Arabidopsis thaliana: one gene and its partners. The protein of the gene in region 2 interacts with the protein of the main gene of each other region in a pairwise test. Each region holds a gene or a part of one and is shown on either strand. Other genes may lie near its edges.

Region 1 (10,974 bases), on a different chromosome or scaffold from region 2:
TAAAATGTTAAGCCAAGCTACAAAATATCAAATAAATTATATTTTGTTCGAATCATTATATTTATATTTTGCTTAAAGTTAACTAGCTACTTTTATTCAGTTTTGTAAATGCTACTACTTAAGGAAAAACCATCCAGGAAACAAATATAGTGGTAAGAGAATTATAGCAATTATATCACGATGTACCTTAAAAATATTTTGATTGCACAATATACACTTTTAGCAATCAATAATTTGTTTAGGATCAAGTACTTACAAGATCTATAAGTCAAAGATATTTAATTTACGAAAAGAACAGGTCTAGCATAATATCGGATGACTCGGATTCCGGAATAATTTAAATGAATCTTATACTTGATTACCTCATAGTATTAACGAACGTTAATGTTGATTACGAGATTTGACTTTGTAGAAGTTATGGATAAAATTAAAAGAAATTAAAAGTCTTTAACCAATATATGAAAAACTAAAAGTTCAGGTCCTAAACTTGTAAGCGTTGAAAATTTGGAATTGACTTTGAATGTGGCTTTACCAAACCCAACGGTTGAATATTGTTTTAAATGTCTCTCTCACGCGCTACATTCTTCCTTCTATCTCAGCCGTTCGATTTGACTCTTACGAGATCTCTTTGACTTGAATAAAAAATAATCATTAATGTTAATTTTGTTCTTAAATGCAATACATTATGTATTATTCGTCCGATTGTTAACAATAATGAAAAAGTTTAGTAAAAAAAATCGTTAACAATACTAATATAGCTATACGAAATAAAAAATATTAATACAGAAAGTTGAAAATATATATCGCCAGTTTTTACCAATTTTGGTACTGGTTTTATGATTGAAATAATAACACTTATACCACCACTATGGTACGAATTACTAATCAAGTTGAAACAAATATCAACAAATTTATATAATAATAAAAAAAACTTATCAACAAATTCTAGGGTTTGATTTTCATGAAAATATTGTTAGAACGTGCACATAACACGCTAAACGTTGGATATTAATAAGGAGATGCGGAAGCTGAGGCATTGATACCGTGAAGTGAAGGACCCCCTAGGCCGCACATGCACTTTGTGTCTTGGGAATTGTATTGCTTACATAAATATTTCATCCGTTTCCTTACAACAAATTACGAGTTTTCCTAAAAGTTGTTTTCTGAAGCAAAGAAAATGATTTGTTTTAATATTGTTTTTACATAAAAGGTTGGGAAGAATTTGATCATCAAACCAAACAAATGAACAATCAATGAAAAACATATAAATCCATCAATTTCTATAATCAGCCCAGATTCTTTTGAGTTGAGGCCCATTAGGCCCATATTCATCATATACCCGTTCAAAACTCGTCATTTCATCGTCACCACCACCAGTACAACATCCGCTTTTTGATTCCAAACCAAACCCTAATTTCTCAGCTCGAAGTTTCCATTTCATTGCTTCTTCTTACCTCGATTTTTCCCGGGTATTAGAATTCGGTCAATTTACTGAATTATAGTGTTCTCACATGCCAACTGATTCTACTTCAAAATCGCTGCGAATTTCTGCGATCAGTTACGAAAATTTTGTCAATGGGTTCGGGTAATCATGTTGATATAGTCGATGTGAGCTCAGGCGAAGAGGATGTCGATACACGGGGAGACGTAGAATACACCGATTGGCTAAACGGTGTTATGGAACCCGTCGATGATACATCTGACAGTACCGATATAGTCGAGGTTCTTTCTGAGGTTAGAGGTGGTGTAAATTCTCAGTATCGGAAGCCAAACTCGTCGAATCAAGCTTTGGAAGATGATGACGACTGTGTGATTTTGGACTGTGATCCCGACAAGACGAGGGAGACTACTTCAGTTGACGACGACGATGATGATGATGTGCTTGTAGTGGGTCAAAAGGGTGAGGTATGTTTTCACTGAACCCTTCTCATTTCTAAGTTCTCTTTCGTTTTCTTCATTCGAATTGGTGTGAAAGGCAGAGTTTCTCATTTCAGATTATGTATGCGTTAGTGTTGTTTAGCTCTGAGGAACTGTTTTAGGAATGGATAGTTATTGAACTGTTTTGTGTTATTGTAAAGTAATCGTTGTAACATTGATGAACTTTTTTTCTTTGGTGATGGAACTGTTTTAGGAATGGATAGTTATTGAACTGTTTTGTGTTATTGTAATTTAATCGGTGTAACATTGATGAACTTTTTTTCTTTGGTGTGTTCCATCTTTATACAAGTGTTGTTCACTTAAGTTTTCCTAATATGAAAAAGCATTTTTTTTGTTTTGTAGATAGCATGTAGAGATTTCCCTCATCCGCGACATTCGTGTGCTAAGTATGCGTTCAACTCAACATCACATGAGAAGTACTGTGACATGGTAAGTATCTAAATATTCTCTAATTCTACACGGAGCGTTAATGGATTCTTTTCCTGGCTGATCCTTTTCATTTGGTTTCTCTTTCAAGTGTCATTGTTATGTGTGTGACATCCGTGCTCCGTGTCCATACTGGTGTATCGCTGTCTCCTCCATAGATCATTGTCATGCTAATGATAAAGAGAAGATATGGAAGAATCAACGTGAATACTTCAGGACAGGATACATGCCTACCGCACCATCTTCAAAACCTACTCCAAGTATTTTACGGGTACCCAAAAACACTTTGCTTCGGAAAAACCATGTTGAGATCCGGCCTTGTTCATCATCTACCCGTGTTGCTAATCCTTCAAGTGTCAAAGCCAGGCATAGAATCAGGCAACCGATTCCGCACAATCAAGGGTTGCAGAGTCAACCGGCACAGTCATTAAGCACTGTTCGCGACAGCGTGATCCAAAAGGATAGAAGTTCTTATAGGTTTAGCCTACGATCCCGAGTAGCCTCTTCTGCGGGAAATGGTATCAGCATCCGATTTAACAATGCTCAAGTTTCACAATCCAGTCACCATAGCTCTTCCACAGTGGCACCTACATTAAACCCGGAAACGTACACTCAACAACGCAATGTTCGTGATCATTGCACAGCGCTACCTGGTTCTCAGAGCAACGTGTTCACTCGACATGCAGACCAGAACATACGTGGTAGTGGAAATCGTCAGTTTCAGACAAATGTGGATCGGTTTGCTCCGTCCAAAGCTCCTCTTACTGCTGAAGATTCGCATACAGCTACGGTACAACAGCAACCAGGGATTAATGAAAACGTCTTGGAGACCAAACTATCGGAATTTGAGAAATGGCTAATGGAAAATCCTAACCCAACCGGCCCTGTTAGTCCGTTACCTGAACCGGGAAATCAAGACTATGCTAGTACGTTGTCATTTGATTTTGAAACATTTTTGAATGATTGAAAGATTCATAAGGGTAGTTTGTATCTCCGTCCCTAGGTTAACTCTCTTCACTGATTGTATTTTGTAGAGGGAGTGCTGTAGTTTATTACAATCTCGATTGTGTGTATCATTTAATTAGCTGCTACTAGTACATCATAAAATTAAGTCCTAAAAAGTACCTGTTTGCCAATTGACATAAATAATGTTTGTTGATTTGAGTTTTTTAAGGTCAAAAATCAAACATACCATCATTATCACTGCCTGTTTAAATGATTAGGGAGGGGAAAATATCCATGTAATGTAAAAGAAGACAATCAACAATCGAAAAGCGATAGATATAGAAAGAGGCACACACATATGGTCTTGATTAAATTTGATCAAACTTCTATTTTGCCTAATAGACAAATAGTCCAAATTTATCAAAACCGGAAAAACATTGTTATATTTTGGATCAAAATTACTTCTACCATCATTTAGTTAGCTTTTAATATTTTAGAAACAATTGAATTTTTGACCCAAAAAAAGAAACAATGGAAATAACTGATAAAGTCTTCTTAAAAGTATAGGAAATTTTGCCAAGTATATAGTATTAATTTTGGAAACAAACACGAAAATGGAATAGTTTTGAGAGTTGATACTTGTCATTTGTGGAATTATTACTATTACTTTTTAATGTAAAATATTTCGAAAATAAACTTTTAACAAAAGTAAAATCCGAAAATACTTAGTTTCCAAGTTTATAGAAATCAAGCCCAGCCCATTTGGGGTTTTTAATTTTTTTTTTTTTTTTTTTTTAAAAAAAAAAAAAAAAAAAAAATCAAACCCAAAACGATTCCGTTTAGTAGGCTAAAATTCAAGTAAGTCCCGGCCCAATAAGGCAACTAACGCCCAAAAAAGAAACGGTTTTGTCGATGTGACGGTAGCAAACGGCCACCAGTTTTGTCGTTTCGATGTGCGTGGCCACCACGCGCATACGAAACCGCGTCGGTGTTCGCTAACGCCATCATCATCGCCTTTTTTTTTTTTTTTTTTTTGCCTTTCTCCGAAAGCAGTCTCACTACGGCAACACACTACCCTACGCCCCCTTCCCACCATCAGCATTAAATTCTCTCTCTCTCTTCGCTTCTTCTGGTTTCGAATTCACTTTACTCTCTTCGCTTCCAATCTCTCTCTACCACTCTGATACCTTCGCCGGAGAAGAAGCTCTCGTTCTCTCTATCGTCGGAGAAGCTCTCGTTCTCTGCTTCCCTGCTCTGTACAGATCTCGAGCCGCATTTCGTGGATCTGTCAAAATCGCGTTAAAACCTACTCGCTTCTCTCTAACCCTAGGGTTTTTGAATTTTTTTCGGGACGAGGGAGAAATCAATGTCTGTGAAGCTTTGAGGAAGCTATATGGTTACACCTTTGGTTCTGGTTAGTCTTCGTTTTGATCGGCGGAGAGTGTTCGCCGAGGCTTGGTGTCTCCGTTATTGACTAATGGTGGTTTTTGATTTGAGATAAGAGATGCGGAACTTTGCGATGCTTCTGCTGTTAATTCTTCTTCTTCACTCTCTCGCCTCGTTTCCTATATGCTTTGGTATGAACTAGTTAACAAATTTCTTTTCCCCTTTTCAAATTTAGGAAACGATTTTGATAGGAGAAATTAACCTTTAGTTAAGTTGCTCTTACTTTGACAGCTCAAGATTAGTTGGTGGTCTATCTATATTTAGAATTGTTTATTGGATTTAGATATATTTAGAAGCTAATTTTGGTTATGTACAAAGTAAGCAAAAGAGTTTAGATTATTTAAGTTTGGAATCTGTGATTGTGAAGCGTGAGAGTGAAGATCAAGTCCTCACGTTTTGTGCCTTAATTGGCACACAACCTTTTAATAGCTAGAATGCACATAGATCTTACTCTTTCTTTTCTGAGTATCTTGAGGAAATATCGATTTTGTGTGACATTCTCTTGGCCAAATTTTATCCTCTACAGTTGGCATTATACTTTTAAACCCAAGAGAGGAGGATGGAGTATGCATACTATTAGAAACATTCTATTTTTTCGAAACTTTTCACTGCTATGAATATTCGACATGTGTAGAAAGAATCTATAGATGACTTATCAGCTTGCTTTATCATTTGCAGCTCGGTTATTTCCGATGAGTTTGCCATTTACCCGATCAAAGGCGCATCAAATGCATTTCTTTCATCCTTATCTTAATCCATCAGTTGCTCCTACACCTTCACCAGGTCAGTAAGGGAATCCTATTTGTCACCTAAACATAGTGTCATTATGTTTCTGTCTAGGAGTATTCATTGTTCATTGTCTTTCCCTTTTTAGCTTTTTCCCCCAACCCAAGTCGCATTCCACCACTAAGGCACAAGGGTCATCACCGTCATCGTCGCTGGCATTTAAGACGCAATGCCACTGCAGTGTCACCTTCGTCACATGGTAGTTCTTTTGCTTCTTGTTGGTTATCCTGCGTCCTATTATAGTGGCAACGATAATGTTTTATATGAATACTTTTTCTTCAGACTTCAGTTGATAAATCAAGCGTAGTAACTACTTTTTCCTGTGTATTTCCGGCTTTCCTTTTGATAGACTGTCAGCAGACATGTGTGGAGCCTCTCACTTCAACTCCCTTTGGTTCACCTTGTGGTTGTGTCTTCCCCATGAAAGTTCAGCTTCTACTAAGTGTCGCACCTTTTTCTATTTTCCCCGTGACCAACGAGTTAGAAATTGAGGTTGCTGCTGGAACATACTTGGAACAAAGCCAAGTGAAAATAATGGGTGCCAGTGCCGACAGTGAAAATCAAGGGAAAACAGTGGTGGATATTAACCTTGTTCCACTTGGGGAAAAGTTCGACAACACTACAGCAACACTTATTTATCAGAGATTCCGGCACAAGAAAGTACCTCTAAATGAGACTGTTTTTGGTGATTATGAGGTTACGCACATAAGTTATCCAGGTAAACTGATTTCATTCAGATGCAAGTTTCTACTTTTTTTTTGTTTTATTTCAAAGTTTGAACTTCTTAACCTTGCTTCAGGAATTCCTTCTTCTTCGCCAAATGGAGATGTTACTGGAGATGCTCCAGGAGGCCTTCCAATTCCGATCAATGCAACAACTTTTGCCAACAAAAGCCAGGGAATAGGTTTTAGAACGATTGCAATTATTGCGTTGTCAGGTTTTGTCCTCATTCTGGTTTTGGTTGGAGCTATTTCTATAATCGTGAAATGGAAGAAAATTGGGAAGTCATCTAATGCTGTTGGTCCGGCTTTGGCTCCATCGATTAACAAAAGGCCTGGTAATTTTCACCCTCTGACTTCTTAACGCTTCTATAGCTTTAAAAGAACCTGTTTCTGAAAAATTTATTCGCCTTGCAGGTGCTGGATCTATGTTTTCCAGTAGCGCCAGAAGCTCAGGCTCAGATTCTTTGATGTCTTCCATGGCTACATGTGCTTTATCAGTTAAGACCTTCACACTCTCCGAGCTTGAGAAGGCTACTGATAGATTCAGTGCCAAGAGGGTTTTGGGCGAGGGCGGATTTGGTCGTGTTTATCAGGGGAGTATGGAAGATGGAACTGAGGTTGCAGTGAAACTGCTAACTAGGGACAATCAGAATCGAGACCGTGAATTTATTGCCGAAGTCGAGATGCTAAGCCGTTTGCACCACCGCAATCTTGTGAAACTGATTGGAATATGCATTGAAGGTCGTACACGTTGCTTGATTTATGAGCTCGTCCACAATGGGAGTGTTGAGTCCCACTTACACGGTGACATATTCTTTTCTCTGCACTTTTAATAACAATATATCCCAATTATATCCATCACTTCTCGTTGCATCACCACCTAAAACCTGGCTTTCCGGTTGTTGACAAAACAGAAGGAACGCTTGATTGGGATGCGCGGTTGAAGATTGCACTTGGAGCAGCGAGAGGACTGGCTTATCTCCATGAAGATTCAAATCCCCGAGTAATCCACCGTGATTTCAAGGCTAGCAATGTTCTCCTAGAAGATGACTTTACCCCAAAAGTCTCAGACTTTGGACTGGCAAGAGAAGCAACCGAAGGAAGTCAACATATTTCAACTCGAGTCATGGGGACCTTTGGGTAAAATTTCTTTCCAACTCAAATATGATGAATACAGACACTCTGGACTTACAGTGACTACCCTGGAAATAATTTCAGGTACGTGGCTCCTGAGTATGCAATGACGGGGCATCTCCTTGTTAAAAGCGATGTCTATAGTTATGGTGTAGTTCTACTAGAGCTTCTAACCGGTAGAAGACCAGTAGACATGTCTCAACCTTCGGGAGAGGAAAACCTTGTGACATGGGCGAGACCCTTACTAGCCAACAGAGAGGGCCTGGAGCAACTGGTGGACCCTGCATTGGCTGGAACCTACAACTTTGATGACATGGCGAAAGTGGCTGCGATTGCCTCCATGTGCGTCCACCAAGAGGTCTCACACAGACCATTCATGGGTGAAGTTGTGCAGGCACTAAAACTTATATACAACGATGCAGATGAGACCTGTGGTGATTATTGCAGCCAAAAGGACTCATCAGTACCAGACTCTGCTGACTTCAAAGGCGATCTGGCTCCTTCGGATAGCAGCTGGTGGAATTTGACACCTCGGTTAAGGTATGGTCAAGCTTCGTCGTTCATAACAATGGATTATAGCTCAGGACCACTAGAGGACATGGAGAACCGGCCTCACTCTGCCTCTAGCATTCCAAGAGTAGGAGGTCTTATTCTACCAAACAGATCAGGTCCGTTAAGACCCATGCGTAGTAGAAGAAACTTCTTTAGACTGAGAGGAAGCATGAGCGAACACGGTGGACCGTCGTCGTCTAGACATCTCTGGTCCGGCAATGGTGACTGGCTCTGAGAAACCAGAAAATGTACAGTGAAGAAAAGGGAAAAGGAGGCTCACAAACTCTTGAGCTGCATGGTTAGGTTCTGGTTAATCCGGCCAGGTTCGGTTCATCTGGGTAAAGATTTCCGGTTTGATTTCTTTTAGGAGCTGTTTGTTGTTATGATTATCCTCAATAGAGATTTAATTGTTTGTTTTTGCGAGGATGCAAAAGCACAGGGAGGGTTGTATTTTGAAGGACGCCTGTATTTAGTTCTCTCCTTTTCTCTCTCACCCACAAAAAAACATTTTTATATATTTTATTTTAGTGAAGTTAGTAATTACCTAATTTTTTTTAGTTTTTCAAGTTCCTAAGAAATTTGGCTTTTGGTCATCGTTGTTAAGTTTCCGGTTTTCTGAATTTACATCCGAAATATTTTTTGGTTAAATAAAATTCTGGCTTGAGAGTAATTGGCTGGTGAATGGTAACAAGTCACTTGGTCAAAGCTGTTGTAATTCTTTTCTAATTTCTAGTATCTTCTGTAGATTGGACACAATGACATGGATTGTTGATCTTTAAAGTCGTAGAGTATAATTTGATATGTTTGTCTTTCTTCCTCCATATCTTCTTAATTCCTCCTTCCACTTCAGCCAAACCGAAGCTTGCTTTCGAGTTTCTGAGTCTTCTTCATTTTGTTATACAACACAGTCTAAAGAAAGAAAATCTGTAGGCCCAATAAACACAAAAATCGATTTATGGGCTAAGCAAACAACGGTCACAGTGGCTGAGTAAACGGAAGAGAAAAAAATATTTTAAAATTTTGAATTTAAAATTAATAAGGTCTTATTGGGCCTACATTATGAAACCTATCTAATCTCTCGAGATATAACAGTTGAGGACAAAACGCTAAAATCCGTTTGCGTTTGGTTTATATTGGCAAAAGCAAAATAATTTTTAATCGAGGAATATGTAGGAACGTCCGATTTAAGTATCTGACTGATCAGATCAACGTGACCAAACGAACCATGAAATGAATGCTACTGGAACCCAAAGTAAAGAACAAAGAAACTAGAATTGCTAGTTAGTATTCATAATATTAATAGTTAGTTTTTTAAGAAGTTAATTTTTTTTAATTGCTAAATATTTTTAATCAATAGTTAGTTTTTTTTCTTATATTATCAATTAAATATTTATTAAAATTTTCAAAATTACCGTGCAAAATTTATACTAAAAAATTATATACTCAATTGTTTTTCATATTACTTTCTTATGAAACTCATATCGTCATATGTATTGAGTTTAATTGTAATGATTTATTTTCTAATGAAAATAAGGAGTTAATATTTTCCAATTGATATGTATATGTGACGTATGAGCGAACAAAAAAGAAGAAGAAAATATATTTGTGGTTATATAGAAAAGAAAAATGTTACAAAAAATGGATTGTACCGAAGACAAAACCTCATGAGTCACTTAAGTAGAGAGAGAAACCAACTGAGCCAACATATCATTCCGAGTTTTGTTTTTTGTGTCTAAACCATAATTTCATGTTTGTGTTGTGTGAAAGCCATGGAAGCCGGCGGGAGCAAAACCAAGAAATGAGTTGCTTGCTACAAGAGGTACAATTCTTATAGAGAATATGTTTTTCACATCAAGATTGCGTTCCATTCGATTCATCAGCCTTAGTGTGGGGTTTGCTTCAAACATTGTAAATCATTCGAATCTGTTCGAGAACACCTTCACGGTATGGCTTGAGCTTATATGATCTTCTTGTTCTCTGTTTTTTTGTTGGGTTGGTGTTTGATTGATGATTATTTTGAACAATGTCAGTTCCGAACCATCCCTCTCGACCATTCAAAGAAAAATGCAAAACCATTTTCGCTGAAAAAGGGTGTGAACTTTGTCTTCAAGTCTTTGTGGAAGCCACTGCTAGGGATGAGCATATGAAAGAGTGTCTCATGTCTTCACCACCTCCTATCCAAAATGCTTCTAGTGCAAGTGGCACACGCGTGATGAGTCTGTGCATATCTAATTTTAGAAAAAACTATTTTGACTCTAGTGGATACAAAGATGTTTTTAACATTATACACTGTTAAAATTGAGTTTTTTTCAATGACTTTATCGAAAACATATTGCGTTCTATAATATTAATCAAAGATAAAATCCTAATAAAACGTAAATATATAACAATTTCTTTTTTTAATGAATAGTCTATAACTTTTCTTAAAATATAAGACTAGTATGTATCATGCTCATAAGATGGAAATAAAAACATGTTAAAATATTAAAGAAATTATAAACTGAATTGGCTTTAGTGGTTATTTAAATTTCAATTAAATTTATTTGATTTAAAAAAAAAGAAAATCTTCTAAATTAAATTGGCTTTAACGGTTATTTAAATTTTGATTGACTCAATTCATCTACAATTATTTTTTAAGAAATTTTATAATTTACAATTTTTTTTTTTTGCCTAGCCGTATCGGTTAGGGTCATGTTGATCTTTAAAATATAAATTTTTATTTGTACGGACCGAGATCAAATATATGCGGGTTTTGCAGACTAACCCAATTGACATGCATATTTGTTCCAATAATTATGTTTGTTCTTTGGATCTTCTAAACTTAATCACTTAGTATAATAATAAAGACCAAGCAGAAACAAAATTTATAGCAAAAATAAAACAAGAATGATTGAAAAAAACAATAGCAATTTAAACAAACCACAAAAGTTTTGTTCTTTCATCCCAATACATAAAAATCTATCAAAAAGTGAAACTAACACCGGCTTTTTCAGTTTCACTATTGTTTTCTAATCATATAGCAGCA
Region 2 (6,100 bases):
GGAGCTATCCTTATAACTAATACGTAAGATATAAGATTATGACAAGAACTTAACTAAACTTTCCAAGAACATCAAGTTGAATATGCTTAGATTGAATATGCAGAGATATGATTAATAAAGACATGTTATATTTTTAGTGTAAGAAATAAATTTTCTAAAATTTCACCGTCTCACAATCTATACATATAACTGAAAAAGCAAGGATATATAAATTCAAAAAAAAAACTGAGAATCTAAAACAACAATAAAAACAATTCAATCACATTCGTTTTTCAGATGAACTAATATAGTTGGGCTTTTCAAAAACAATTACAAATCATATTTATGTTTCAAAACCTATGCATTCAATTTTACTTTATATGAACAAACATTATATAAAATAATTTGTAAATAATACGTAAACCCGCACGTAGTGCGGGTACTCATCTAGTCATTGATAAAGAGGTAACATATTTTTAAGAGATATAGAGTTATTATTTTGATCTAATTACTGATTAATCTTACATAAACTCAACTATCAATCTTGTCCCAAATAATATAAAAATCTTTAGCAAGCATGTAACGTACCATTCACTATCTAACAAAAATCCAAACATTGGCATATGCTACTAGAGGTCCATTAACAAGACAGTACTAATGAACGAACATTTTCACATGTCAAATGTTTCATCTTTTTCATCATCATCATCCTTCAATTTCAACAGCAGCCTCTGCTTCAGATACATAATCATACCTAATATCAAAAAAAAAGTTAATAAGCATTTCATTGATGTATCAAAAGATAAAATCATACTATCATAGACAATCATCATAAAAATCGAGTTTAAAATAGCTTCGACTCTTTGTTTGCATTACATATTAAGCAAAATTTCCTTTGCTGATTGTAAACGCCAAACCAAACCTTTCTGATTGCGTTTAACTTAGCAAAAGAAATGTTTTATATAGTAAGCTGATGAATTTGTTATCTATGTTAAAACACAAGCAAAACAAAAAAGTGGGTTTGATTCTCACTTTATTTTGCGAGTAAGTTGGTATATCCCTGTAGCTGCCATAGCAACATTAACACTAAACAGGTTCCAGTTTTTCTGTTAAAAAAAAACAAAAGTCCAAAGAATCAGATCGATAAACCAAAACCAAGAATCCAATCACAAAAGTAAAACTCGAAAAGCAAACAAAACTTACAGGAGTAATTATAGTGCTGCAACGACACCAAATCATTCCAGTGCATGTCACAGCTAATACAATAATTATGGATAATATGTTTATAACAATAATTGTAACAAGAAAGATTAGAGATTTCTGAAGAGTAGTAGTTATTTACCAATTTGCTGAAGGTACGAAATATTTTCTGGAGGTTTCTGGAAATCTGCAATGTTAGCAATGCTTATACCCCACTTAAATGTTGGAGCCCAGAAATGAACTGATTAATACCCAACAACAACAACAACAAAAAAAGAGAGAAACTGTTTACAATTAGAATATATTATTCATTAGAGGATTTAAAGTGATATAGATTTTTTTTTGTCAAGAACTGTACTATAAACAATTCAACATTTTCCAATAGTAACGTTTCAATAGAGTCTTAATTGAAACGGAAGAAGAAAGAGTAATATATTATTGATGAAACAATGTGATAACTCACTTGTCTTTGGTCCTGCCGGGTGATTCCAGAGAGCTTGAAGCTTAGACGTCGCCATCAACTTTTGTTTTCCTCGGAGATTCTCTTTTCTCTGTCTTGTTTCAGTCTCCTACATAAATATTAACGAAATGATGCTACTCAAAACGACGTCGTATAAGCAATATGTAATTGAGCCACTCAAATCTTTCCGATTATATTCATCGATCGTACTATCGTGTAGTGTTGTAGTGGCCAGATCTTTCCTCTTTTAAGTGTTTTTTTGTTTGTTCATCTTAATATATTTTTTTTTGTTCTTGGGAAGCATTGACGCTTTGATTGGGCTTTGATGAGACTAACCCATGGGCTTGAGAATTGAGATGAGGTGATTTGTTAGAGAGAAATCGCATTCAATTTCGTTTCGTCTTGGAACTTGCTTTACTTTCATTATGGCAGACACATGATGACTCTATTGGTCGATAATAACAAGGAAGAGCATAATTAATTATTCTTGGCTCTTGATTCATTTCAAAAGAATGCATAAACTCTCAAACCTTGGATAGAAGCTAAAATTTATTTTTTACTTCTTCTTCTCCATTCACATTATCTTATAAGAAAACTTTTGAAGTACTTTTTCAAATAAATTTTTATAATGTTTTTTTCATGGTTTTAAATTTTGATTCATGTTGACACACTGTTTAAAACTCATAGTATTAAATCAATCTATGCGTTACATAATCATTCTCCAAATTTGTCCTTAAACTAGCAAACAAAAAGCTTTAGCTTTAGACTAGAGTCCCACCAGTGACGTACTCGGTGAAGGCCAACGCAACGAGACCGAGCATCGCAAACCGACCGTTCCATAGCTCGGCGTCTGAAGTCATGAACCCTTTTGACTTTGCCTCTGCCCTTATTCCCTTGAACAACGGAACCATCGATGCCAACGTCAACAACGCTGTTGTTCCTAGAAACCACCCGACACCACCGTCAGAGATCTGAGCAAACACGTTTTCTCCCTTTGATAACTCCATGGCGATGGCCGCCACGAATCCAACCATTGCTAGTCTCCCGTTGATCCTCTCGGGTGCTGGACCGCTAAACGCTAGCAAATCTCCAAACTTCGTACTCACCTAGACAATAAGAAAATTATTCATTAGCTTCATTTTTTTAGCTAGTGATATATATTAATGACTTTGATCATTAGATCATACCTTAGGCTTGCTAACTGGTGGAGGAGGAGACTGTGGCATTTGTGGTGGAGTGGCCGAAGTCGAGGTCGAGGGCACAGAAGGATCTTCCTTGATAGGATCGCCCTAAAAAAATAGTCAATGTAAGGAACGGTCAGGATTAAAAGTCAAATAAGTAACGTAGGGAAGTGGAAGGACTATGAGGTTAGTGTATATATACCTGAGCCATGCATCTGACTCCTACCGGAGCAATCCTCTTGAAGAAGAGTTGGTTTGTGTTTCTGATGTTGCGTGTAGTCAATACACCGGAAGGAGCAGCGAACACTGACTGCATGTTAAACGACGCCGTTGCCATTTCTGATTAGGTTTTCTAAAAGCCGAAGATCGATGAAGAAGAGAGAAATGAATAAATTATAAGACTTGAGAAGTGAGATGGAGTTGGTTTGAGGTGTAACTGTAGGATTATCTCTTCATTTATAGAGTTGGTGAAGGAAAATGATAGGCCCAGTATTTTCTGGATTTTATTTATCTTTACTGATTTATGGGATACTATGATTACTTATTTTATTTTTGTTTTTGTGTGGTGTGTAGTAGAGTAATAAATAAGTAGAAAGAAATCTATCAAAGAAAAGAAAAAAACTGAATTCAAACTTTTTATTCCTTTTTTTTCTTTTTTCCACTTTAAACTTTTTTTTTCTTTTGGGGAAGAAAAAGTTTCCTCAGAATAAATGTTTTCAAACTTATGAGATTTTTTCCATATTTATTGTAACACCTAACAAATCAGTTGGTCATTCGTTTCATTATTTGTAAAACTACCATATTAAAATTATACAAATAAATCGAATTATTTTGCTCGAAATCGTTAAAAATGTGAAAAAAAAAGAAGAATATATCGATATTTGGGTTGAACGCTAAACACAAAAACACGTAGCCAATAAAATTTGAGAAATGAGAGGAAAGTGAGGTTGAGATCGGTGAGAGGCCACGTCTAGTTGGAAAAGTGCAAGTAAACTGATGGCGTGGCCTCCTCATTACACATAGATACACATCTTCCTTGTCTTTTTCTGATTGGTCATGGCCAAGTGGGTTTGGCAAAAACACGTACAAATTTTTTTTTTGTCTCAAAATGTTAATAACAAGTTAGTGGCTCACAATATTCACTTGGGACTTGGGAGATTCGTTTTTGGTATAGAGAGAAGTCGCATTCAATCTTGTTTCGCGCGTATTGGAACTTTCTTAACTTTCATCATGGCAGACCCATGATGACTCTTTTGATCCTTTATGTGTCCCATTCATGTCTTCGTGCCCAATTCTCCTACGTGCGCTGTTTTTTTTTCCAGATTAGAACGGTAAATAATAGCACAATTGTGAAGATATGGGCATAGTCTTCGTGTCGGTATAGTCTCCTTTTCTATTGTCTTTTGTGTGTGAGTTAATTTCTAAATTTGTAACAAGGAGAAGAGAAACCTCTATTAGTGCTTGTAATACTTTTTGCTTGATAGTGAAAAGTTGTGGGAGACAGTTCCCACCCGAGACGTACCGGTTAGAGGCCAGGAGGCAGGAACTCGGTGATCAAACTCTTGTGTCAATTTCTAGCTTAAGCAATCTAACGTTCCACACATATAGAAAACTCAACAACAATTATTTAGATATGAATGATCAGATTTGATGTACCACCATCGATATGTGCTCTCTGCGAAAACTCTTTATATATACTGAAAGAAAACATACACCCACATTGGTAGTTTTTTTTAATGGATTTTACTAGCAGAGGATAATAAATTTATCGCATATATTACTTACATTTGTAGTTTCAAATACGAAAAAACTTGACCATTAGTAGTGTGAAGTGTGTAATTGATACTTTTGAGTTCAGGACGAAAAAATGTTCACGTCATTCGTGAGGAAATAAGGCATTTAGACTCAAAAGTCCAAACATGTGAGAAGGTCCTCGAAAGGGCGAACAATAAAAAGCCCCGAAGCCCATAACACGAGTGCCTTCTTATCCCCATGAGTCTTCGAGTGGACAAAGAGAGAGAACAACTTTGGGAAATTTATAGTAGTTTGTGAAGACTTCATATAAAAATTGTATTTATGAGATTATTGTGTTTTAAGAGGAGAGACGACGAGGGTCATCATTCATTTAATTACTTTTAACATTATAATTAAGTTCTGATTTATCCGGTCGTTTATGTAATTTATTGATTATATACTTAGGTTATTTAGCCGGCCACAAGGCCAAGCAAGCAAAACATAAGCTTGCGGCCGCTAATCATATTATTATTTAGTTTTGGCCGAATTTGCATAAAAATGTAGTCTAATGGTTAAAGTTTCAGTATTTGAGTTACAAGTTCCTTAGTTCAAACTTTGACAATGTGTTAAACTAATTTTTTTTTAAACGACAGAATCACTAAATAAATAAATATTATGTGGCCCATTTTGTTTCTCTTATTGTAACCCCGTGAAACCCGGGGACGACTAGGTAACAAATACTCTTTGGGTTTTCTTATAAATCAAATGCATATCTTTGATAAACTAAACCATGAAAGAAGGAGTTTTTTTAACTGATGAATTGATGATTATTGAAGTTGATATAAGTTAGATTCAAGTTTTGATGTACTGTATTTGGAACAGAAATGTTATAATATCTTACTAAAGCCCAGTTCGGAACAAGGCCTTACCCTTATTTAAAGCCCCAGTAGATCTGTTTTGAATTGTCGCTATGAGTGAATGAGGATGGGTAGGTCGACCCTCAGAATTCTTAATTGGCACATGTTGAATGTGAGCCCAAAGCAGCCACCAATAAAGTGAATCAACTCCGTCATTTTCAATGCTTTTTCATGCAAGAGGAAACATTAAAATATCGTCGTTATTAGTATTAATTATGTTTTTGACCTGTAAAGAATGGACAAAACTTATACTAAACAAATTATTTCGCCGTCAAAAAGGAAACAAAAGTTCAGATATAAATTCCTGGTAGCTTCAGGTCAAGATAAAGTCAGGTCAAAGGTGATGAGCTCTATAATGAGTCCTCCAAATGTGATTTAAGTTTAAGAAATGAACACACTTTTCTTAAGCCGGCATTAGTTTTATGTTATTACCCCACAAATGATGATGATGATGTCGCATGGTCCTTCACGTGATTACAATATTAATTTGCCAAGTTGATATCGTCATGACTCATGAGCAAAGTGCTGGTCGAACATCGACGTATTCTTGGATAATGTTCGATTTTTGAACTGGTCCTAATTCTAATATCAATATTCTTACGAAACTAATCACATTGGTCTATAAAAGC
Region 3 (6,868 bases), on a different chromosome or scaffold from region 2:
CATTAATAACCACATATCTGCTGCTTCAACAACTGCTGGAGACTTACCTCTTATAGACCCTGCAGCTGGAAATGTATGTTTTGCCAGTGGTACAGCCGGATGGTCCTTCACATTACAATCTTTTGCTAAAATGTATGCCAAGCTTCATGGTGTGGCCATGGACGTGGATAAGTTTGCATCTCGACTTTGGGGAGATGTATATTATCACTCTGATACTAGGGTATTCAAGAGAAGTCCTCCAGTAGGTGGTGGAGAAAGAGCATTTGTTCAGTTTATTCTGGAGCCCCTATACAAGATATACAGCCAAGTGATAGGTGAACATAAGAAGAGTGTAGAGACCACCCTTGCAGAATTAGGAGTGACTCTGAGTAATAGTGCATATAAGCTGAACGTCAGACCTCTACTTAGGTTAGCCTGTAGTTCAGTGTTTGGTTCGGCATCAGGGTTCACTGATATGTTGGTAAAGCACATTCCTTCACCCAGAGAGGCTGCAGCTAGGAAGGTCGACCATTCATATACCGGAACCAAAGATTCCCCCATTTATGAATCAATGGTAGAATGTGATCCATCTGGACCTCTCATGGTTAATGTGACAAAGTTGTACCCCAAATCAGATACTAGTGTTTTTGATGTGTTTGGAAGAGTTTATAGTGGTAGGCTTCAAACAGGGCAAAGCGTACGTGTACTAGGAGAAGGGTATTCACCTGAGGATGAGGAGGACATGACTATAAAAGAAGTGACGAAGCTATGGATATATCAAGCTAGGTATAGAATACCAGTAAGCAGTGCCCCTCCCGGTTCCTGGGTTTTAATTGAAGGTGTCGATGCATCCATCATGAAAACTGCGACTCTGTGTAATGCAAGCTATGATGAAGATGTCTACATATTCCGGGCTCTCCAATTTAATACCCTCCCAGTAGTCAAGACTGCAACTGAGCCTTTGAATCCTAGTGAGCTGCCTAAAATGGTGGAAGGGCTTAGGAAAATTAGCAAAAGCTATCCCCTTGCGATTACCAAAGTTGAGGAGTCTGGGGAACATACTATTCTAGGCACAGGTGAGTTGTACTTGGATTCAATCATGAAGGACCTCAGGGAGCTCTATTCAGAGGTCGAAGTAAAGGTATCTAATTGTATCTCTAATTTGGCTCTATGACTGTGATTCCGGTGTGCAAGCAAATTGCTGATTTGGCTGTTTGATAGCTAAGATCCTTTTGCTTTCTTAAATTTGTAGGTTGCAGATCCGGTGGTCTCCTTCTGTGAGACAGTGGTTGAATCTTCGTCGATGAAGTGTTTTGCTGAGACACCAAACAAAAAGAACAAAATAACTATGGTAAGAGATCTTCTTTTTCCACTATTATCTCTTATATATTAGACTGCGATGTTTGGTATGGTGCTCAAGCACAATTACTTTGTGAAAAATCTGATATCTGTTTCATGCTAAAGATTGCAGAGCCATTGGATAGAGGACTTGCAGAGGACATTGAGAATGGCGTTGTAAGCATTGACTGGAACAGAAAACAACTTGGTGACTTCTTCAGGACGAAATATGACTGGGATTTACTTGCTGCACGTTCCATCTGGGCTTTTGGCCCTGACAAACAGGTGAAATGCTTGTATTCTTAAAACACTGCAATCTGGGGTTTACTTTATCTTTATTGTTATGGTTGGTTTATGTCTGTTTTGACAATTTCATTGATTGTTGATTTTCGACTGATCAGGGGCCAAACATATTATTGGATGACACCCTTCCAACTGAGGTGGACAGGAACTTGATGATGGCAGTGAAAGACTCCATTGTTCAAGGGTAATCATCTTTCTTCTGTTACACTTTTCTTTTACTCGATTTTGTTGGCTTTAGCTAAGTGGCTTCGTTTTATTCCTCTTGCAGGTTCCAGTGGGGTGCTCGTGAAGGTCCCCTCTGTGATGAGCCCATCAGAAATGTAAAGTTCAAGATTGTTGATGCACGGATAGCACCAGAGCCATTGCATAGAGGATCTGGTCAGATGATTCCAACAGCAAGACGTGTTGCATATTCAGCTTTTCTAATGGCAACTCCAAGGCTAATGGAACCTGTCTACTATGTGGAGGTACATAATCCCTTTCCATTTTTGCTCGTCACATTTTTTCTCTTAAAATGATAACTAAGAGTTATGGTTTTGTCGCAGATACAAACACCAATCGACTGTGTAACTGCAATCTACACAGTTTTGTCACGTAGACGTGGGCATGTCACATCTGATGTTCCTCAACCCGGTACTCCAGCTTATATCGTGAAGGTTAGTTTTGTTTGTGTCTTTTCTCCTTACTTTGTTCCTGTTATTTGACTAAGTGATGATTCATTGAGTATATTCTTTGGTGTTGATGCAGGCCTTTCTGCCTGTGATAGAGTCCTTTGGGTTTGAGACAGATCTGAGGTACCACACTCAGGGACAAGCCTTTTGCCTATCTGTGTTTGATCACTGGGCCATTGTGCCAGGAGACCCTCTAGACAAAGCCATCCAGTTGCGCCCACTTGAGCCCGCTCCTATTCAGCATCTAGCTCGGGAATTCATGGTCAAGACCCGCCGTAGAAAGGTATTATGATTTCCTTTGTTTCAATGCACATCCCAAAACTTAGTGGGTTTCATGCGGTTAAAGATACGAATGAAACCATAAACTGATTTGTTACTCTAGTGTTTGGTTAAATGACCCCAGTAAACCCTCACAAACCAAAGGATCCCCGAAACTACTGTTTACAAACCCGGCCCTTGCTAATTACTCTTTAACCAAGTAACACCAGCTATAATTTGCTGGATACATCCTAGGCTAGTTATATTGTATGACTCGTTGGGTGTTTGGATCATCAGTTTCAGACTCTCACGATATGTATAATTTGTTGGTTATGCAGGGAATGAGCGAAGACGTCAGCGGAAATAAATTCTTTGATGAAGCGATGATGGTAGAGCTTGCCCAGCAAACAGGCGATCTCCATCTGCAGATGATTTGATGATCTCTGCACTTTTTTCATATAAATCGTGATTCAGGACTAGTAGTAGTATCTTCTCTTCTCTATATATGTGAAAGGAGAACAAGAAAATGTGGATCAGTTTTGTAATTGATGTGTCAAATTTACGTTGTAAGTTGAGAGATTTTAATGAACTCAACAGTCCACATGGTCACACTCACACATGACTCGCAAATAGTTGACAGGAAATGTTCACAAATTTTTGTAAAATTGTAAACTACTATTGGATTATGGGAAACTGAACTAGGTTATGACACTATCATTTATAAGATGATCTCATAGTTTGTTGTCTATATGATTAGTAATTATACATATGATACAGAGAACGTACGATCCAGATCCTATTTCCGCAAAGAGTTTTCTGCATAACTAAGATTTGATTCTTCAAAAATGCTAAATTTAAAGATAAACCAGGTCAATGGCACAAACCTATCTAGATATAAGTAAGTTTTTCTTCATAATTTAATTTAGTGCACACAGACGACTTATTTTACTCCAATGAAAATCGGTTAATTCGTCAAACGTCACTACTTGTCTCAAAGATTTGTTGTGCTTTACTATTTTCGTCTATTTCATGCTTCCATAATCAGCTTTTTACGTTGACGTGCTCTTTACAAATCGAAGTGGACGTGGCGGCAACCACTTATACTTATTATACATAGAATAAAGCTACAAAATATATAGTTAAGGCCCTGGTGGATTAATATATACATCGTTTAAGGTTTTAGATTGGTCTCCTCCACCTTATTTTATGTGCATTGCCAACTCTGAAAACGTCATGCCTTATCTTCATTGGTTATATCCATTTGGCTCCATCAACCAAACGACGATAATGATTTTCCACATATCCTATATACATTTGGGTTCGGTAGAATTACTACAATACTCAAATTGCTTTTAATTTATGTTTTAGTTTATGGAATATGAATTGTGAGTTTTTTAAAAAATAATCTCCCAATTAAATATTATTAGCTTTTAAGTTTCTATTTCAAGTGAAATCAGTTAGCTATGCATGTCATTCAATATAGACATAATTTTGTTTTCTTCCATTCGTTTTACAATTTTTAACTAACAGAAATTATACATTACGTCACTTACTACGTTCCCACTAAAAATAGAGGCAAATGCAATCAAGTGATGACGACCTTTCAAAAATAAATATTAAGAGATATATAAGAAGGGACTAGCTAGGTAGATATGACTAGATTCCAACTTAATTAACGTATTTAATTTCTGCATAGATGGACGTTAATTAGGACTTTAGCTTCTCTATAAATACCGTAGCTATTGAGCTTATATATGGAGATCACCCCCTTAAAATCTTCAAAGACTATATATCTCACCTTTAAGAACTAAGAGGAAGTTACATATATATGGCAAGTCTCAAGTTATGGGTTTGTTTGGTCCTGCTTCTAGTACTCGAATTGACATCGGTGCACGAATGTCGACCATTGGTTGCCGAAGAGAGATTTTCTGGTTCAAGTCGTTTGAAAAAGATAAGACGTGAACTTTTTGAGAGGTTAAAAGAGATGAAGGGGAGATCAGAAGGCGAAGAGACGATCCTTGGAAATACTCTTGACTCAAAGCGGCTTAGTCCCGGTGGTCCTGACCCGAGGCATCACTGACACTGACCATAGAAGAATGCAAAAAAAAATGTGTAATGTAACATTTTTGGGAGAGTTTTAATATGATATTACAACTTTTTAACTTATAATGTAATATTCTTATGCTGTAGTTAATTTTCTGTCTTTCCACTAATGAAGCATTTCTGTTTACATGATCTCGTTTTTATGTAGTTCCTGCATGCATCTTTCTTTAGCAAATATGTTCTATTTAAAAAAGCAGCATGTTATGCTTATTTTGAGAGCTATTCCCATTTTCACTAAATATGAGTTCATACTATTCAAGTTAATTAAAAAACACCATTTAGCTTATTTCTTATATCTAAAATTCACAATTATAACTAACAAATAATTACATAGATATACTATATAACATATATCAACATCACTTAGTTTGTATTTGAAATAATCAATCTATATACTAAAAAAAGAAAAACATTACCTTTATAACAAAAAATGAGTGAAACTTTAATGGAATTTTTCACCAGCAGAAATATAGTGAATCTAAAAGCATTCAAAATTTTCTGAAGCAAGATTTTTTTTTTTCAATTGCTTGTCAGCATCACATATTTGTCAGAAATAATGAATAAACTTGACAAAAAATCTTGCTTTAGAAAATATACAAATATTACAATACATATACAAAATATACTAACTTTAAATATTAATTTAATTAGTACCAGATTTAAGAAAAAAATCATTCAAAATTATAAATTGTTTTATTTATTTTACTTGAGTTCTCTCTCTTTTTTGTTGTTGTTGATTACAGATGTAAATGTTTATGGGTAGAGCTTCTTTATGATATACGCGAAATTGATTAGTTTTTAGGCCCAAACCTAAAAAGCATTCCGGGTCGGGTAAACGAGCCAAATCTAAACGCTGGTTCTTTTCTTCTCCTTCTTCTTCCTCTCGCTCTTGCGGCGCCTTCTCTCTCCCAAACTCGCAGGTAACAAAGCTTCCTTCAATTTCTCCTTTTTCAGATCAATCAATTTCCTTCTCTGGTTCCCTTTCCTGACGCAAGTTTCCTCCTTTGGTTTTTGTCGATCTCTAAGCTCAGACAGAGATTCGAATGACCTAATTGTATCCCGTCTTATCGAGACTTTACACAGATTCTTCTGGGATTTTATCTTACACAGTCGTTATCTACTTGTTGCGTCCAATTGATTTCTCTGAATCAGAAACCCTAATTTCGTGGGTCTTGTGCAGTCTCTAAAGTTTGCACACTCTCTCAGAATCGAGCCAAGGTTTCGTCTAGAAATTAGGGTTTCTTAGTTTTTTCATGGTGGAGGATATATTTTAGGCCGATTTGAGGGCTTTCCATCAGTTTTAAACGGAGGAAGTGACGAAAAAGCATCAATCGAGAGCAATTAAGGCGTGAAATTAGGGTTTCTGAAGTATATGTATGGCTTCGGAGCCTGTTAACGGAGGAGAAGGTATCGATGGAGCTAGAGAGAAGCAAATCATCAAAGTTTATAAGAGGAAAGGCAAAGGTCAAAGAAAACAGTCATCTTTCTTTGCCCTTGAGGCTGCCATCGAGAAACCTGAGGGGCTATTAGAAAACGAGAATGATAACAATGATGTGAGTCCTGCCGAAACTCTAGCTCCAGAGTTTGAGGATCCTATAGTTGTGGTGAAGAATTCTATCGAAGAGGCTGCTCTTGGGACTAATTCTCATGGAGACAAAAACTTAACTGAAGCGCCTTCTGAAAACCTGCCTGGTGATGATTCAGACAAAGTCATTGACAAGCCTCTTGTCGAAGCATTTTCTCAAGCTCAACCACAGGATGATGCCAGTTTGGCCGCTATGGACAAGTCTGAAGAAGTACCTTCTCAGATCCCCAAAGCTCAAGATGATGTCAATACAGTGGTTGTTGATGAAAACTCTATCAAGGAACCTCCTAAAAGCCTTGCCCAAGAAGATGTTACCACTGTGATTGTTGACAAGAACCCTATCGAAGCACCTTCTCAAACCCTATCCCTGGAAGATGGTGATACTCTTGTTGTTGACAAGAATCCCATTGAAGTGTCTTCTGAGGAAGATGTCCACGTGATAGATGCAGATAATCTAATAAAAGAAGCTCATCCTGAAAACTTTGTGGAAAGAGATACCACTGATGCCCAACAGCCCGCTGGGCTTACCTCTGATTCTGCTCATGCTACTGCTGCTGGAAGCATGCCAATGGAGGAGGACGCAGATGGACGTATTAGGATACATGTAGCCTCCACAACGAAGCAACAGAAA

Evidence for each region. Proteins that work in one complex are often made in the same cells at the same time.
Region 1: the proteins of ELIP2 (region 2) and ALE2 interact in a protein complementation assay, tested with the Arabidopsis thaliana proteins (one large-scale study listed by BioGRID).
Region 3: the proteins of ELIP2 (region 2) and CLE3 interact in a protein complementation assay, tested with the Arabidopsis thaliana proteins (one large-scale study listed by BioGRID).

What each region holds. Positions count from the first base shown.
Region 1 is NC_003071.7:8,753,685-8,764,658, reverse strand, and holds ALE2 (Protein kinase superfamily protein), read left to right. Parts: upstream 1-4,360; 5' UTR 4,361-4,813; coding exon 4,814-4,886; intron 4,887-5,433; coding exon 5,434-5,538; intron 5,539-5,629; coding exon 5,630-5,740; intron 5,741-5,890; coding exon 5,891-6,259; intron 6,260-6,340; coding exon 6,341-6,598; intron 6,599-6,677; coding exon 6,678-7,067; intron 7,068-7,177; coding exon 7,178-7,403; intron 7,404-7,481; coding exon 7,482-8,184; 3' UTR 8,185-8,807; downstream 8,808-10,974. Other genes in the region: RIN13 (RPM1 interacting protein 13), read left to right, coding at 1,576-1,905, 2,281-2,367, 2,456-3,331. UniProt on the Arabidopsis thaliana protein: Required during the differentiation of the protoderm into shoots epidermis and cuticle.
Region 2 is NC_003075.7:8,415,430-8,421,529, reverse strand, and holds ELIP2 (Chlorophyll A-B binding family protein), read right to left. Parts: upstream 3,289-6,100; 5' UTR 3,158-3,288; coding exon 3,023-3,157; intron 2,929-3,022; coding exon 2,827-2,928; intron 2,746-2,826; coding exon 2,401-2,745; 3' UTR 2,205-2,400; downstream 1-2,204. Other genes in the region: AT4G14695 (Uncharacterized protein family (UPF0041)), read right to left, coding at 685-733, 1,012-1,085, 1,183-1,235, 1,322-1,420, 1,643-1,697. UniProt on the Arabidopsis thaliana protein: Probably involved in the integration of pigments into the mature light-harvesting pigment-protein complexes.
Region 3 is NC_003070.9:1,901,598-1,908,465, forward strand, and holds CLE3 (CLAVATA3/ESR-RELATED 3), read left to right. Parts: upstream 1-4,320; 5' UTR 4,321-4,377; coding exon 4,378-4,629; 3' UTR 4,630-4,701; downstream 4,702-6,868. Other genes in the region: MEE5 (Ribosomal protein S5/Elongation factor G/III/V family protein), read left to right, coding at 1-1,120, 1,232-1,330, 1,444-1,602, 1,719-1,804, 1,889-2,087, 2,166-2,276, 2,368-2,574, 2,888-2,986; GTE4 (global transcription factor group E4), read left to right, coding at 6,029-6,868.